Linked DNA regions of Caenorhabditis elegans. The protein of the gene in region 1 interacts with the protein of each later gene in a pairwise test. Each region holds a gene or a part of one and is shown on either strand. Other genes may lie near its edges.

Region 1 (8,225 bases):
GAAAAATATAAAAAGTTTTGCAGACGAAAATCCGGAAAATCTCGTGCTTTTCGAGCAAACCCACGGAAAATTGAAATTTTTTCAGATTTTTGGGCGTAAGTGTTGCATTTTTAGGCGACAATTGTGATTTTCTGAGCCAAAATCTTGAAAATTACCAATTTGGTGGAAAAATACGATTTTTTTTTTTTTGAGAAAATTAAGCTGAAAATTGAGCTTTTTGGTTGAAAAATGTGATTTTCCGAGCAAAAAACAAGAAAATTGAGAATTTTTGGGCAGAAATTGATGATTTTCTGAGCCAAAATCTTGAAAATTGCCAACTTTTTGGCTAAAATTAGGGTTTTTGGGGTGTGAATTGTAATTTTTGTGCGAAAATTTGGAAATTATGGGGTTTTTAAGTGAAATTTCAAGCAAAATAGCCGATTTTTTGCGTGAAAATTCAATTTTTTCTTGAAAAATTCGATTTTTCGCTGAAAAATGGATTTTCAACTTCAGCGAATAAAAATGTGTCAAAATCCGGTTTTAGGTCGAAAATTTGGGCTTTTCCACAAGAAAATCACAAATTTTCCGGAATTTTTCGTCTTTAAACTGGAAGTGTTAAGCTTTTTTCGTGAAAAAGTGAAAATTTGGGGCTAAAACTCAATTTTCGGATGAAAAATCGTCGTAGTAAAATTCAATTTTTGCATGAAAAAATACGAAATCTGAAGAGAAATATTTTTTCTGCTGATTTTGACGAAAATGCGAAAAATTTTGAGTTTTCTCGAGCAAACCCACATAAAATAGGTAATTTTTGAGTGAAAATTGCGATTTTTCGAACCAAAATCTTGAAAATTGCCAACTCTTGGGCTAAAATTAGGGGGTGTGGAGAGTAAATTGTGAATTTTTAAGCGGAAACTGTCTAAAAAATTGGGCATTGTCAGAGAATTGCGGGAAAATTCAGCCTTTCTGAGCGAGAAAAGTCATTTTTCAGGTAAAAAATTCAGTTTTTTCTCCGATCTTCTCTACGAACTTGTCCAGTTCCAGACCATGCGGCACTAGTCGACGCATATTTAGCCACCATACTCCTCAGTCCACTCTCATCGGCTCCTTGAATCGTCGCCTTCTTCTGCCCGTTCACAAATGCGATAAATGTGGGCATTGCGTTGACGCCGTACGTGGCGGCAGTTCCACGGCACTCATCCACGTCAACTTTTAGAAAAACGGAGCCTTTGTATTGATTGGCCAAGTCGCTGAAGATCGGCGCAATGTACTGGCATGGGCCGCACCTGGAGAATATAGAAAGATATATTTATGCTTAAAACACTGAAAATCCCTTGAAAAGCCTTACCAGGATGCTGTAAAATCCACAAAAACCGCTTTCCCGTTGCCCGCGGAGAACTTGCGGTCAAAATCCGAATCTCCATTGACAACTATTACTGGCATTTTCTGAAAAATTAGTGAAAAATTAATTGTTTTATTTATTTTCCACAAAAAAATTCAAAAAAAAACCTTGAAAACCACTTTAAAAATTAAAAAATCCAACAAAAAAAATAAAAAAATTGTTGTCAAGTCCGCAATGACACCGAACTTGACGCGCAAATGGTGTACACACATCAAAATCCACCGTACCCCACATCTCCCGTGGCGGCAAATCGCGGCGGGACCCGCCAGCAATTTCAATGCTCGCGAATTTTCCGAATTTCAAATTTTGTTCGCCGCTTCCAGTGTTTTCCATGAAATTTCTTTAGTTTTTCGCCGAATTTCTTGGTTTTTCAAGCAAAAATCGTGATTTTCAAGCTTAAAATCGGTGAAAAACGTGGGAAATTGGGCCAGAAAACCGGAAATTGGGTTAGATTTCCCATTTTGAAGTGTTTTGTCATCGTGAAGTTTCTCAAAGTGAATTTTGCCGTATTTATATTATTTTCTGAAGTTTTCAAGCTGAAAAAACAACTAACAATCTAAAAATCCTAAAATTTAGACCAAAATCTCTAAAACTTCACCTAAAATTGCTCATTCTTACTCAATTTTTACACAATTTTTCGATTTTGCCCCTAAAATCTAATAATTTGCAGGTAAATCATGGCTATGAAGATCCCAAAGTCCGGTTACAACCGGTTCATGAAGGAAGGAGCTCAGCACTTCAAAGGAACCGACGAGGCTGTTCAGAGGAATATCGAGGCCTGTACGGAGCTCGCTTCGCAGATTCGATCGGCCTACGGACCAAATGGTACGGAAAATTGCAGAATTTCACATTAAATATATGATTTTTCCCCAATTTTCCCACTTTAGGAATGAACAAAATGGTGATTAACCACATCGAGAAGCTCTTCGTCACCAACGACGCCGCCACCATCCTCAAGGAGCTCGAAATTCAGCATCCGGCCGCCCGTATCATCATTATGGCCACCGAGATGCAGGAGAAGCAGGTTTTTCAATAGAAAAACTGGAAAATTTAAATTTAAATGGGAAAAATTACAGATCGGAGACAACACGAACACCGTTGTGATCTTGGCGGCCGCTTTGTTGGAGCACGCTGCGAATCTCATCCATATGGTACTGGAAAACGTTGATTTTTGTCGAAAATTGTGGAAATTTGCTCGAATTCCTTGAAAAATGGGGTTTTTTAATCTAAAAATCCTCCAATTTATATATTTTGTCACTTAAAAGTGCCCAAAGTTCATGAAAAATCGCTGAAAAATCGATTTTTCACGCTTTTCTCAGCGAAAATTATAGATTTTTCGAGAGAACACTGCCAAAAAGTCGTTTTTGCTTGTTTTTAAGCATTTCCCGCAAAAAAGATACCAAATTTTGCTATCTTGAATATAAAAATCCGATTTCCAGAGATTTTTGCGCATTTCTCGCTAGAAACCCCAACATTTCGAAAAGTTTCAACTAAAAAGTGCCGAAAATGCAATTTTCAGCTAGTTTTCAAGCTTTTTTCTTACATTTCACTCGAAAATCCTCAAATTTCGCTTTTTTTTTTCGGCGGAAAAATGTCGAATTCACTAAAAAGTTTACAAATTATTCGATTTTTCGCGTTTTTTTTCAAGATTTTTTATTGAAAAATCCCAAATTTTCTCCATTTTCAGCTAACTTTCCTCATTTCTCGCGGAGAAAATACATTTTCACATCATTTTTATGCAAAAAATGCTATTTTTCTGCTGAAATTATCTAATTTTCCTTTTAAATAATCGCGAAAATTCAGTTTTTCAGCTTTTTTTTCGAGATTCTTCTCATTTTCAAGTAAAAATTCCAATTTTTTAAAAAATGTTTTTGATGCTTAATTGATCCATTTCAGGGTATTCTTGACCCAACAATTTTAGAAAAACGCTATTTTTTGACTAATAATCGGTTTTCCTTGGGAAAAATTTCCAAAAAATCAATTTTAAACTAGTTTTTGAGCAAAGAATATTTAATTTCCGAACATTTTCTCACACAAAACCCCCGAATTTTTTTGATTTTTCTTGGAAAAATTACCTAAAATTCATATTTTTATGCATAAAACTGCAAGTTTTCACTCAAAAACGTCAATTTTCCAGGAAATGGCACCAAAAACATCCAATTTGCGAGATTTTTCAGCTAAAAAATGTAATTTTCGGATGAAAACGGTCAAAAATTCAGATTTTTTTACTTACTTTCAAGCTTTTTGCTTTCAATTTTCACTCAAAAACCTTCAATTTTCGATATTTACCAAGTAAAACCCCAAAAAATTGATTTTCGGCGTTTTTCAAGCAATTTTGACAAATTTTCCAGTAAAAAAAACCGCCAAAAATTCAATTGTGCATCCAATTTTGCATAAATTTATCCAATTTTTCCAGGGAATGACACCACAAGAAGTCGCTGCCGGATACGAGCAAGCCGCCGAGAAAGCCCTCGAAATCCTGCCAACATTGGTTGTAAAAGAGGCTACAGATATGAAGAATATCGAAGAAGTCCGTCAATATATTCGTTCAGCAATCACCTCAAAACAGTACGATAACGAGGATATTATCGCTGATTTGGTGGCAAAAGCGTGTGTAACCACGTGCCCGGCCAACAGTTTCAACTTCAACGTTGATAATATCAGAATCTGCAAGATTATTGGCTCAGGAGTTCATACTTCAACAGTTATGAACGGAATGGTCTTTAAACGTGGAGCCGAGGGAGAAATTCGTGAAGCTCGCGACGCTAGAATTGCAGTTTATACTTGTCCATTTGACTTGACTCAGACTGAAACTAAGGGAACTGTTCTTATTGAGAATGCTGATGAGCTTAGGAACTTCTCCAAGGGAGAGGAAGCTGAAGTTGAAGAGCAAGTTAAAGCTATTGCTGATAACGGTGTTAAGGTAAAAATTTGAGCTTAAAAAGAGAATTTTGCCCCAGAAAACTCAATTTTTCCATAAAAATCGCGGTGTTTGGCTTTAATTTTCTATTTTTTTTTTTCGGCTGAAAGGATAAATATAGACTTAAAACGGGAATTTTCACTTCGAAAATTCTTAAATTCTCGTACAAAAGCTGAATTTTTCGCTAAAATTTCTCGTTTTTTGGCTGAAATGAGCTTCTCTGAGGCAGATATAAGAAATTCTGGAATGTATATTTTAAAAACGACCTGAAAACGGGAATTTTGACTGAAATTTCTTGCTTTCATGCTAAAAATTTTGTCTTTTGTGCCAAAAATGGTAAAATATGCAGCGAGAAGCTCAATTTTGGCTAAATTTTGGCTTATGAACTTCTCCAAGGGAGAGGAAGCTGAAGTTGAGGAGCAGCAGGTTAAAGCTATCGCTGATAACGGTGTTAAGGTAAAAATTTGAGCTTAAAAAGGGAATTTTGACCCCTAAAACTCAATTTTTCGATGAAAATCGCGTTTTTTCGGATAAAAAAGATGAAATTTGACTTTCAACGTGAATTTTTACTCGGAAAATTCTTGAATTCATGATTTCTCTTTCTTTTTTTTTGGCTGAAATGAGCTTCTCCGAGGCTTTGTATAAGAAATTCCGGAGTTTTTATCTGAAAAATTAGCTGAAAACGGAAAGTTTGACGCTAAAAACTCATTTTTTTACTGAAAAGCTTAATTTTTCGGCTAAAACGATGAAGAGAAGCTCCTAAATTGCTTCTAAATTCCCAAAAAAAATTTTTTTTTAACCTAAATTTTGTCTGAAATTCCATGTTTTGCAACTAATTTTGCCGCCAGAAGCTTAATTTTTGGCTGAAATGTAGTTGTTTACCAAAAAAAATCCGCTAATTTCGCAGCGAAACAGTTAATTTTTGGCTTAAATTCATTTTTCCGGCTAAAAATGGGATTTTTCAATATCTGAAAAACAGATTTTACGCTGAAAAATGTCAATTTTCAGCTTGAAATCGAATTTTCTGGCACCAAAAAAGTGATTTTCTCAGTAAAACCGCAATTTTTAACCTAAAAATGTTGGGTTTTCAGTCTAAAAACACAATTTTTCCTCCAAAATTCTCGTTTTTCCAGGTCTTTTTGCAGGTTTTGCAGCTGAAAAAAATGTGAATTTTGATTATAAAAATTGTCATTTTTAGGGACTAAAAATTTGAGATTTTGTTGCTTTTTAGTCGAAAAATGCTACATTTTCAAAAGAAAAAAGCCCGTAAAATACGATTTTCCAAGTGAAAACTGGAGTTTTCATCTAAAAAGTGTGATTTTCTGCCTGAAAATTACATTTTGAACTGAAAAATGTGATTTTTCGGGTTGGAAATTCGGTTTTAATGCCAAAAATTGGACTTTCCTCAGCTTACAATATGATTTTCGAGCTCAAATATACATTTTTCAACAGAAAATGACAATTTTCAGCCAGAAAAATGTGATTTTCTTGCTAAAAATTCAATTTTTTACGCCCAAAAATTCAATTTTCCCTAAAAAAGTTCCCTATATTTCAGGTTGTCGTCGCCGCTGGAAAGTTCGGAGACATGTACCTCCATTTCCTGAATAAATACAAAATTATGGCCGTCCGTCTTACATCAAAATTCGATCTTCGCCGCCTCTGCCGTACCGTCGGAGCTCAACCACAAGCAAGAATCTGTGCTCCAGCTGTTAATCTGTTGGGACACTGTGATTCTGTGGCTGTTCAAGAGATTGGAGACGAAAATGTCGTCGTTTTCGATAAGAAATCGGGTATATAATGTGGAAAAACTGAGAATTTAGGAAATTTTGACCCCCAAAACGGGAATTCTCCGATTTTTTGTAATTTTTAGCTCTGGAAACCTTTTAAAAAAACGATTTGGCGAGTTTTGACTCAAACAAGTATGATTTTTACAATGTTAGACCAAAAAATTCGGAATTTTCGACGGTTTTCAGTCGAAAATTGTGATTTTCGTATAAAACTGCGGAATTTGATGAGCTTAGACCAAAATTTCTACCGTTTTTACCTGAAAATTGTCACTTTTTAATGAATTTTTATTTCAAAAACGGCCTGTTTTTGAAGATTTGGACTCCCACGAGGTGTTTTTCACCGATAATTTGCCATTTTCTGTGAATTTTCACTTGAAAACTGAAATTTCAGCTGAAAATTCCGGTTTTTTACTTAAAAATTTAGATTTTTGAAAATTTTGCAAATAAAACCTCAAAATTTGAGCTGTAAATTCCCAATATTTTGGCCAAAAATTTACCATTTCAGCTGAAAATGTTAAAATTATCACTGAAAAAGCCAATTTTTAGCCAAAAATTCAAATTTTCAGCTTCAAATCTCAATTTTCTCAAATTTTCAGAAACCGGAAAAGTCGCCACAATCATAATCCGTGGATCCTCTCAATCTCGTATTGATGACGTCGAAAGAGCTGTCGATGATGCTGTAAACACCTATAAAGCTCTTACAAAAGACGGGAAATTGCTCGCCGGAGCCGGAGCCGTCGAAATTGAGCTCGCCAAAGAAATTGAGTCGTTTGGAGCAAAAGCACCTGGTTTGGAGCAATATGCAATCAAAAAGTTCGCCCACGCACTCGAAACTCTTCCAAAAGCTATTGCTGAGAACGCTGGAATGCCAACCACTGAAACTCTGACAAAACTCTACGCGGAGCATGTTGCTGGAAAGAAAAACGCTGGAATTGATATCTGGAAGCGGGGTACGGCTTGAAAAAACCCAATGAAAGCACTGAAAATTCGAAGAAAATCGAATTTTCGGTTTAAAATCTGACAATTTAGGTCGAAAAATGACTGGAAAACTTTAATTTTTGACTGAAAATTCAAAATTTTCTGCTGAAATTTACCGAAAACATTTCTAACTGAAAATTTGAATTTTCACCGGAATTCCGCTGTTTCTGCTGAAAATCTAACAATTTCGGCTGAAATTCGCCGAAAACCTAAATTTTCCACTGTAAATCCAATAATTTAGGTCGAAAAATGGCCGAAAAACTTGAATTTTACCTGAAAATGTGCATTTTTGACTGAAAATGTGACCGGAAACATCAATTTTCTTTTGTTTTGCTTCACTTTTTTAAAGTTTTCTTCAGTTTTTGCATTAAAATAACTGATTTTTCACAGCTGGAAACCCTCACAAAACCCGGAATTTTCGCTAAAAATAGGCAATTTTCAGTCAAAAGTCAACTGAAATTCTTCCAAAAAACGTCAAAATTTCCAAAAAAAATCCCCCAATTCCAGACAACACATTCAATTTTTGCTAAAAATTCCAAAAAAAAATATCAGCAAACTGACAGAAAATTTTCAAGTTTTAATCAAAATTGGCCAATTTTCCTTTTGAAAAACCTCAACTTTTCGGTTCAAGCTCAGAAAATTAGCTGAAAATCCGAAATTTTCAACTGAAATTTCTTTAAATCAACTCAAAAATGCAAAAAATTGAATGAAAAAATCGAAAACTCAGCCAAAAATCGGCCATTTTCAACTCTGAAAAATGCCAAATTTTCAGGTAAAAATTCCTCAAAACCCCCCGAAATTTTGGCTAAAAATGTCAATTTCCAGCGCATAAAACTTGTAAATTTTCAATCAAAATTCTGAAAAATCCCGAATTTTAAACTAAAATTCCTTCTTTTTTTTCAGAAACAATGGACGCCGTCGTCAACAACATTTTCGACCTCTACGCTGGAAAACGACTGGCAATTAAGCTCGCCACAGACGCCGCCAGCACAATTCTCAAAGTTGATCAGATTATTATGTCAAAGCAGGCGACTGGAGGACCAAAACCACGTGGACCAAAGGCTCAAGATGAGGATGACGATGGAATGGCCTAATTTTTTTGTGTGCATTTTTGCTGAAAAATTGGGGAAATTTGAGTGAAAATGAGCTGAAAATCGATTTT
Region 2 (3,522 bases), on another chromosome or scaffold:
TTTTCATATATTTCAGCAACCTACAATGTTCGCCGTCACTACACCCGTAAATCTGGAGTCAAGGTTCATGCTGAGCTGATCAGCGGCACTCCAACCAAGCGCGATGATGATGATTTCAGTGAGCTCCTCTTTTTCTAGAGTAAACCTGAAATTCATTTGTTTTCAGATTTCTGCATCGACGACACTGTTTCTGCAACAATCGATACGGTTGTTAAGACTTACAATGACATCGAAACCATGTCAGAGGCTCTCAACTTCTATATCAATAAGCCAGGATGGGCTTATGTCATCTATGATGTAAGTCATATCAGAATCAGAATTGGCTCACTGCTGATAAAATCCAAAAATTCAAATCCGAACTTTAACCCTATCCATTTAAGATGGGAGTTCCACCAAGCGTCATTGGAACCGACAATGTCAAGCAAGATATGAACTACTGCGAGAAGTTTGCCCAAAAGGTACACTTTTATTATCTAAAGTAGATAAAGCTTTTCTACTTTCAGCAAATGCCGGATGGAACCTGGGGTTTGTATCAAGTGTTCGCCGGATTGATCAAGGCCAACTGATTTGTGATTTTTTGGGTTTTTCCCACAACTAACAGTGCAGATGTAATTTGAATAAAACTTTGAACATATAATTAATTTTCTGGAATATTTTACAGTTCGTAAAATTGAAAAGTAACCTAGAGTGCAGCCAACTAAAAGATTTTAGATTCAAATCTTTTTGGAATTTTTCTTTGTAGTTTTTGAATCTATGATTATGTCGATTGTCAGACTGTTTCAGAGAGAGTTAATTAAAAATATTTACCCAATTTATTCATATATTTAGCGCATCTTATCTTACAACAAATATTTAAAGTTTTGATTTCTGGCCAAAAAGTCGGTCTGGAAGCGGTTGTGGCTGTTGAAGAAGGTCGGCAATCAAATGGAAACGGTCTGATCCAAAGAATGAATGCTCCGATCCATCTTCTGTGTGCACATTGATCCATGGAGCACCATATGCCTGAAAAAGTAAAATTGCCAATTTTTTTTAATTCAAAGATGAATAACTTACCATCAAATCAACTCCCTTATTCGTATTCTCCATCAAAATCTTTATATATTTCTCATCCTTGCTCTTTTCCACAATTTGCTCCGGATTCTTAACACCAACTGCCTTCAATACTTCCACAAAGTCTTGATCCTCAAAAATCTTCTCACTTCGAGACCACAATCTGACCCACATTTCCCGAGCTGCTCGGAGCATCAGCTCCTTATCCTGCTCCTGCAAAACCAACAAAACCTTCATTGCTCCAGTAGTACGGTACTTTTTGATCCATTCCATGAACAATGGTGGTGGAGTCAATGGAATATCCCAGAACTTTGCAGTTCGCTTCAAATCAGTCATCATCATAATTGATCGAGCTGGGAGCATTGCTGGAGGACGATTTCCTGATTCTTTCATGACGGCTCCGAGGAAAAATGGAATGTAACGGATTGTTACTCCTTTCCATTGGGTTTCCAGTTTTTGGAAGACCTGCAATTTATCATTGCATAATTTCTATAACTATAATAAATTTACGAATTTTAAAACTAAAAAATATTATTGTACCGTAACACTGTTCAAAAAAAATTCCTGACTTCCTAGGATAAGAGAACCATCGACACATGCGTACAACCACAGTTTTTTATGTAATATCGTATATAAAAAAAACCAACCTCAAAAGCAATATAACTGTACGGAGAAATCACGTCAAAATAAAAGTCGATACGTGGAAGTTTTGGCATTTTCCAAAATTAATTCGAATTTTTGGGCACGGCGAACGGAAATCTGCAAGACAAAAATCCGTAAGTTGAGTGTAGATTTGGAAAAGATGTTTTGAAAAATATTCGCGGGAACGATAAAGTAGATCAAAGTTATATTTTCTGCAATTTTTCTTTGAGAACCCGTTTAAAAAATTAAATAAAAATTGCACAAACAACCGTGTGGTTTTATAAGTTTTCGAGACAACGAACTGTGATCTATGTTCGGTTTGCAGTGATAAGAAAGTGGGAAATGAAGATAGATGCAAAAATAACGTGGGAAAATAATAGTTCTAGAGAAGTAAAGCAACGTGGTGACTTGTTCCACACCGTGAGACTACACTGTAGCTTGTATCGGGAAAAAGATACGCAGAGATGACAGACAATCTGGTTTCTCTGCGTCTAGCTCTCTTGGTTTGAATGATGCATTGGGGAAACTACAAGAATACCTTGGATATTTGGAAAACGCGTATATCAATTTCTTAACCTTTCAAAAATTAAAGCTTTTCTGGATACCTGGAAAGTCCCAATTCGCGTTTTTTACATGGAATTTTCATAAAAGCTTTCTTTTAAAAATGTTTATTTTCTTTTTCCATTGACATATTTTGCATAGCAAGGATCTTTGGAGCTTTTCAAAGCACAAACCTTTGGAATTCATTTGCCGGTGTCTTTTGAGTACCTGCACCTGACACCTGGCACCTGACACCGAGAAAACATTTTTCCTGTGATCATAATTCATTTGGAATTTTTATCAATCAAGATCTGCAATCACAATATGTATTGTGACGTAATAAGGCCATCAAGACATATTGAAAGATTTACAAGGGTTCGGGGAAGAAGGAGGGAGGATAATAAAATGACCACGGGTGTACATTGTTATTCTTTTATTTTTATTTTCTCGCGCGTTTTTGGTTCTACTTTTTGAACTATCTAGTTTAACATTCAACTTCCTCCTTGAATATTTGTTAAATTTCTAAAGTTACGACTAAAAATTGTTTGAAAATTTAAATTTTTTGTCAGGTGTTATAATTTTTGAAAGTTTGAACTTTTTGCAGACTAGCTGCTAACACCTTTATACCAATATTTGATAACAAATCGTATCAATATAAAAACTGATAAGATACTAGTTAGCTCGGTGCATCATTTCAATTTCGAGTAGACTATTAACAATAGTTATTTGATATTGAACCTGCTATATAATAATGTCTGATGTGAGTTTGGACCTATTTAATTGTCAGTTTGGAAATTAGAAACACTGGTTTTACTTTTTGAGTTAAAATGATTTTGAAAACTAATTAAACAATTGAATTTTCAGTCTGAAACAATGTCTGCTGCAAAATCTGCTGCCCATATTCTGAAGAGAGTGTTGATGGTTCCACCAAAGCATTTCACAGTCGAATACACAATCAATCCATGGATGGGAGGAGTTGTTGACAAGCAAAAAGCTCATCAGCAATGGAATTCTTTGAAATCTGCAATCGAAAACGCTGGTGTTCCAGTTTTGACAATGGAGCAAACAGAGGGTCTTCCAGATCAAGTTTTCGTTTGTAATAGTGGATTGGTCTATGATGATCAGGTTTACTTGTCCAGATTCAGGCATAAGGAAAGGTGAGTTTGAAAAAAGAATAAAGGAAATTGTGTGTGAAACATTTTATGTTTTTACAGAAGCGGTGAGCAACCACTCTACTTGGAATGGTTCAAGAAGAACAATATCAAAACTATTGGGGAAGGATATGAAGAG

The links.
Region 2: the proteins of cct-8 (region 1) and gstk-1 interact in a two-hybrid assay, tested with the Caenorhabditis elegans proteins (one large-scale study listed by BioGRID).

Annotation. Positions count from the first base shown.
Region 1 is NC_003282.8:1,087,744-1,095,968, reverse strand, and holds the start of cct-8 (T-complex protein 1 subunit theta), read left to right. Parts: upstream 1-2,048; 5' UTR 2,049-2,055; coding exon 2,056-2,203; intron 2,204-2,265; coding exon 2,266-2,402; intron 2,403-2,454; coding exon 2,455-2,529; intron 2,530-3,794; coding exon 3,795-4,301; intron 4,302-5,853; coding exon 5,854-6,088; intron 6,089-6,681; coding exon 6,682-7,035; intron 7,036-7,966; coding exon 7,967-8,157; 3' UTR 8,158-8,225. Other genes in the region: Y55F3AR.2 (Thioredoxin domain-containing protein), read right to left, coding at 1,007-1,262, 1,325-1,419. UniProt on the Caenorhabditis elegans protein: Molecular chaperone; assists the folding of proteins upon ATP hydrolysis. Known to play a role, in vitro, in the folding of actin and tubulin. Required for correct subcellular localization of pgl-1.
Region 2 is NC_003280.10:9,654,993-9,658,514, reverse strand, and holds gstk-1 (Glutathione S-transferase kappa 1), read right to left. Parts: upstream 1,827-3,522; 5' UTR 1,767-1,826; coding exon 1,698-1,766; intron 1,516-1,697; coding exon 1,054-1,515; intron 1,003-1,053; coding exon 853-1,002; 3' UTR 796-852; downstream 1-795. Other genes in the region: ZK1320.2 (uncharacterized protein), read left to right, coding at 17-118, 167-297, 381-458, 504-566; ZK1307.1 (Amidinotransferase), read left to right, coding at 2,984-2,992, 3,097-3,389, 3,447-3,522.